2 linked regions of the Saccharomyces cerevisiae S288C genome follow. The protein of the gene in region 1 binds, or shares a complex with, the protein of each later gene. Each region holds a gene or a part of one and is shown on either strand. Other genes may lie near its edges. A codon is read from its position in the direction of its gene.

Region 1 (2,662 bases):
AGTGGTAACGCTAGAGCAGACGCTCATCAATAAAATCGAAATTCCAACTAATGAGATGGAATCGGTAGAAGAATTAATTGAGGGCGGATTACTACCGTTGCTAAATTCGAGTGAAACACAGGAAGACCAGAAAATCCTCATTTCATCCATATTAACAATAATTTCAAATGTTTATTTGCATTATTTGAAACTAGGGAAGACAAGCAACGAAACGTTTTTGAAAATTTTGAGTATTTTCAATAAATTTGTAGAGGACTCAGATATTGAAAAAAAGCTACAGCAATTAATACTTGATAAGAAGAGTATTGAGAAGGGCAACGGTTCATCATCTCATGGATCTGCACATGAACAAACACCAGAGTCAAACGACGTTGAAATTGAGGCTACTGCGCCAATTGATGACAATACAGACGATGATAACAAACCGAAGTTATCTGATGTAGAAAAGGATTAAAGATGCTAAGAGATAGTGATGATATTTCATAAATAATGTAATTCTATATATGTTAATTACCTTTTTTGCGAGGCATATTTATGGTGAAGGATAAGTTTTGACCATCAAAGAAGGTTAATGTGGCTGTGGTTTCAGGGTCCATAAAGCTTTTCAATTCATCTTTTTTTTTTTTGTTCTTTTTTTTGATTCCGGTTTCTTTGAAATTTTTTTGATTCGGTAATCTCCGAGCAGAAGGAAGAACGAAGGAAGGAGCACAGACTTAGATTGGTATATATACGCATATGTGGTGTTGAAGAAACATGAAATTGCCCAGTATTCTTAACCCAACTGCACAGAACAAAAACCTGCAGGAAACGAAGATAAATCATGTCGAAAGCTACATATAAGGAACGTGCTGCTACTCATCCTAGTCCTGTTGCTGCCAAGCTATTTAATATCATGCACGAAAAGCAAACAAACTTGTGTGCTTCATTGGATGTTCGTACCACCAAGGAATTACTGGAGTTAGTTGAAGCATTAGGTCCCAAAATTTGTTTACTAAAAACACATGTGGATATCTTGACTGATTTTTCCATGGAGGGCACAGTTAAGCCGCTAAAGGCATTATCCGCCAAGTACAATTTTTTACTCTTCGAAGACAGAAAATTTGCTGACATTGGTAATACAGTCAAATTGCAGTACTCTGCGGGTGTATACAGAATAGCAGAATGGGCAGACATTACGAATGCACACGGTGTGGTGGGCCCAGGTATTGTTAGCGGTTTGAAGCAGGCGGCGGAAGAAGTAACAAAGGAACCTAGAGGCCTTTTGATGTTAGCAGAATTGTCATGCAAGGGCTCCCTAGCTACTGGAGAATATACTAAGGGTACTGTTGACATTGCGAAGAGCGACAAAGATTTTGTTATCGGCTTTATTGCTCAAAGAGACATGGGTGGAAGAGATGAAGGTTACGATTGGTTGATTATGACACCCGGTGTGGGTTTAGATGACAAGGGAGACGCATTGGGTCAACAGTATAGAACCGTGGATGATGTGGTCTCTACAGGATCTGACATTATTATTGTTGGAAGAGGACTATTTGCAAAGGGAAGGGATGCTAAGGTAGAGGGTGAACGTTACAGAAAAGCAGGCTGGGAAGCATATTTGAGAAGATGCGGCCAGCAAAACTAAAAAACTGTATTATAAGTAAATGCATGTATACTAAACTCACAAATTAGAGCTTCAATTTAATTATATCAGTTATTACCCGGGAATCTCGGTCGTAATGATTTCTATAATGACGAAAAAAAAAAAATTGGAAAGAAAAAGCTTCATGGCCTTTATAAAAAGGAACTATCCAATACCTCGCCAGAACCAAGTAACAGTATTTTACGGGGCACAAATCAAGAACAATAAGACAGGACTGTAAAGATGGACGCATTGAACTCCAAAGAACAACAAGAGTTCCAAAAAGTAGTGGAACAAAAGCAAATGAAGGATTTCATGCGTTTGTACTCTAATCTGGTAGAAAGATGTTTCACAGACTGTGTCAATGACTTCACAACATCAAAGCTAACCAATAAGGAACAAACATGCATCATGAAGTGCTCAGAAAAGTTCTTGAAGCATAGCGAACGTGTAGGGCAGCGTTTCCAAGAACAAAACGCTGCCTTGGGACAAGGCTTGGGCCGATAAGGTGTACTGGCGTATATATATCTAATTATGTATCTCTGGTGTAGCCCATTTTTAGCATGTAAATATAAAGAGAAACCATATCTAATCTAACCAAATCCAAACAAAATTCAATAGTTACTATCGCTTTTTTCTTTCTGTATCGCAAATAAGTGAAAATTAAAAAAGAAAGATTAAATTGGAAGTTGGATATGGGCTGGAACAGCAGCAGTAATCGGTATCGGGTTCGCCACTAATGACGTCCTACGATTGCACTCAACAGACCTTGACGCTCACGCCGTAGCGGGCGACAAGTCAAACGGAACAACCGTTGCCGTTCCCATCGGAGTCCGACCTAGGCCGAACTCCGTGAATTTCTGATAACAACGGTCGGTAAAGACTGGTTCCCCAGTATATTTCTTCTCTCAGGAGCAGGGGCCAATGCCAAAAGCGACATTAACCCGGAGGACAAGGCTCCACTGTGTTCCACCGAATTTCCCACCTGATAATATCTGATAACCCGCCCATAGGTGGGGATCCTTCTGTAAACAGGTTTCT
Region 2 (2,760 bases), on another chromosome or scaffold:
ACATTATAATCTCTATTCTAGCCCTTAGAGGAGCATGTCATGCGTTCAGAACCTCCATTAATAGCTTACTTTATAACTTTCTATCAGTCACAAGTTAAACGTCGACAATTTTTGTGGGAAATGGTCTGTTTTTTTTCTTCAGTTAATAAATCTCGTTCTTGACTGCAGGTAATTAATGGTATCGTGATCGTTACCTATGCTTACACACTATAAGAATTTTCTTCGTGAGAATTGGCCCATTTCTCTGGTTCTTCTGAAGAGAGTTTTGCTGACCATCAATCAGCTTTACGAAAATTTACCGCCCAATTTCTTGCCAAAATGCCATCCATATTCCCATTCATTGGAATTCTTTCACTATTTTATCATTTCAATGTTCTTTGTAGCAACAGGCTCTTCTTTTTCACGCTTACTGTGATCATTTGTTATAAGTGCTGGTATTTTCTCTCTTCTGGAATTCCGTGCTATTGATATCACGACATGTGCGCTTCTCATGATTTTGCCGCCCAAGGCACATTTTGCCGTCTGTTTTTAACCTAATATTTATGTCGCGGGTATATTATCATATATTGCGTAAGAGGATGGTATTGCTGATGGGAAGTGGTCAACAAATTCAATAGGCACTGAAATGTAAGGGCTGACAATGTAATTGGATAAAGAAAGGCAACACATGAAAGGAAGAAAAAAAAAACGTTATTTATTATTATGTAAAACTATTGACCTCACCTTTGTGATTCACGCTGTCCTCGTGAAAAAACTTTTTTTGTTTTTGTAGACCTAATAAAAGAACCTTTTTTAACAATGTCCTAACAATAATTTCAACAGTTGCCAAACCTCAAATAGTGTTGGAATAAAAATCCACTATCGTCTATCAACTAATAGTTATATTATCAATATATTATCATATACGGTGTTAAGATGATGACATAAGTTATGAGAAGCTGTCATCGATGTTAGAGGAAGCTGAAGTGCAAGGATTGATAATGTAATAGGATAATGAAACATATAAAACGGAATGAGGAATAATCGTGATATTAGTAAATAGAAATATAGATTCCATTTTGAGGATTCCTATATCCTCGAGGAGAACTTCTAGTATATTCTGTATACCTAATATTATAGCCTTTATCAAAAATGGAATCCCAACAATTATCTCAACATTCACCCATTTCTCAAATAGTATGTTTTGGTGTTAAAGAAGAACATTGGAAACAAAGGAAAGGTAAGCATTAGCCCGGAAACAAAACAAGAGGAAGTAATATACACCTTTTTGGTTAACTTGTTCGTTCAGAAGAGCCCAAGTATGTAATTATTTTTTGCAAATCTTTCCTCAGTAACGATAACGACACGAAGGTAATATTTTAAAACATTTATCAACAAGTCACTAAATATAATCTGGGTCCTATCACTATTAGAGCTTCTATGGCCAAGTTGGTAAGGCGCCACACTAGTAATGTGGAGATCATCGGTTCAAATCCGATTGGAAGCATTTTTTGCATTGATTTCCCAATTCGTAGCTGATGATCACCCTCTGAAGCTATCGGACATTTTTTTTCTTTAATTTTTTCAGCGAGAGAGCTGGCAGTGAACGTACAAGAGCAAGCTCTCTAAAGAACTATTACTCTCCTCGTTCCCCTCTCATGTCTTTTAACAGATAAACAAGCAAAAGAAGGAACTATCATACTTAGAAAAACATGTCTTTCTTAGGTTTCGGTGGTGGTCAGCCTCAATTATCATCTCAACAAAAGATTCAAGCTGCGGAAGCTGAACTAGATTTGGTCACAGACATGTTCAATAAATTGGTTAATAACTGTTATAAAAAATGTATCAATACTTCTTATTCCGAGGGTGAGCTGAATAAGAATGAATCTTCGTGCCTAGACAGATGTGTGGCCAAATATTTTGAGACCAATGTTCAAGTCGGTGAAAACATGCAGAAAATGGGCCAATCATTTAACGCAGCCGGTAAGTTTTAGAAATGTGCATTAAAGCAGTAATGATAAGACGAAAATAAGAAAAGAAATCCATAAGCTGTTTTACTCGACTCAACGTTATAATTAGTATTATTGATTCATATCCTGTATATACAAGTAACATTATACTCTTTTCTGTACTTCATCTTTACCTTTTTATCTTACATGGCACATGTTGTTTGAAAACAAGATCATAGGTGGATAAAGCAAGCCGAATCTAAAAAAAAAAAAATGTCTCTATTGGAAAACTGAATGCATAACGATATTCCCTTTTCATGCAGATAACACTGACTAGTTTCAATTTGAAACGCATCTTCGTGTTATTTCACCGAAACGCACTCGGCTCAGCATGTTAAAAAGCACATCAATTTAGGGCTCTGCGCGTCCTTCTGCGTATTCTTCCTTGTAGAAATGCAATTAAATGGAGAGCAGAAATTTTTTTGTTACATATTGTTTTCCTTAAAGGGAAATATTAAAAAATAGTCTAAAATGAAGAGGATAGTAGAATTCCACCAATTTCTTTACGTTTTATATTATTCGTAATCTTTTGATCTGTTATTCATTTTTTCTTGTCACTCCGTTTCTAACATTTTTGACCATTTCTAAGACCAAACTGAGTAGAAGCTATTCATACTGTAAATTGGTATTTTAGCATCACATCAATAATCCAGAGGTGTATAAATTGATATATTAAGGTAGGAAATAATGGGGTGTACAGTGAGTACGCAAACAATAGGAGACGAAAGTGATCCTTTTCTACAGAACAAAAGAGCCAATGATGTCATCGAGC

Evidence for each region.
Region 2: the proteins of TIM9 (region 1) and TIM10 are in contact, whole or in part, in a cryo-EM structure (PDB 6LO8), measured with the Saccharomyces cerevisiae proteins. Residues at the interface, in NP_010894.1 of Saccharomyces cerevisiae: Glu17 (codon at 1,913), Gln18 (codon at 1,916), Gln20 (codon at 1,922), Met21 (codon at 1,925), Phe24 (codon at 1,934), Met25 (codon at 1,937), Tyr28 (codon at 1,946), Ser29 (codon at 1,949), Asn30 (codon at 1,952), Leu31 (codon at 1,955), Val32 (codon at 1,958), Glu33 (codon at 1,961), Cys35 (codon at 1,967), Phe36 (codon at 1,970), Thr37 (codon at 1,973), Val40 (codon at 1,982), Asn41 (codon at 1,985), Asp42 (codon at 1,988), Phe43 (codon at 1,991), Thr44 (codon at 1,994), Thr45 (codon at 1,997), Ser46 (codon at 2,000), Lys47 (codon at 2,003), Leu48 (codon at 2,006), Glu52 (codon at 2,018), Gln53 (codon at 2,021), Ile56 (codon at 2,030), Met57 (codon at 2,033), Ser60 (codon at 2,042), Glu61 (codon at 2,045); in NP_011869.1 of Saccharomyces cerevisiae: Gln16 (codon at 1,737), Gln20 (codon at 1,749), Leu28 (codon at 1,773), Lys35 (codon at 1,794), Asn39 (codon at 1,806), Lys43 (codon at 1,818), Cys61 (codon at 1,872), Arg64 (codon at 1,881), Cys65 (codon at 1,884), Ala67 (codon at 1,890), Lys68 (codon at 1,893), Tyr69 (codon at 1,896), Glu71 (codon at 1,902), Thr72 (codon at 1,905), Asn73 (codon at 1,908), Gln75 (codon at 1,914), Val76 (codon at 1,917), Gly77 (codon at 1,920), Asn79 (codon at 1,926), Met80 (codon at 1,929), Met83 (codon at 1,938), Phe87 (codon at 1,950).

What each region holds. Positions count from the first base shown.
Region 1 is NC_001137.3:115,347-118,008, forward strand, and holds TIM9 (protein transporter TIM9), read left to right. Parts: upstream 1-1,864; coding exon 1,865-2,128; downstream 2,129-2,662. Other genes in the region: Arf family guanine nucleotide exchange factor GEA2, read left to right, coding at 1-454; URA3 (orotidine-5'-phosphate decarboxylase), read left to right, coding at 821-1,624. UniProt on the Saccharomyces cerevisiae protein: Mitochondrial intermembrane chaperone that participates in the import and insertion of multi-pass transmembrane proteins into the mitochondrial inner membrane.
Region 2 is NC_001140.6:114,833-117,592, reverse strand, and holds TIM10 (protein transporter TIM10), read left to right. Parts: upstream 1-1,691; coding exon 1,692-1,973; downstream 1,974-2,760. Other genes in the region: GPA1 (guanine nucleotide-binding protein subunit alpha), read left to right, coding at 2,676-2,760. UniProt on the Saccharomyces cerevisiae protein: Mitochondrial intermembrane chaperone that participates in the import and insertion of multi-pass transmembrane proteins into the mitochondrial inner membrane.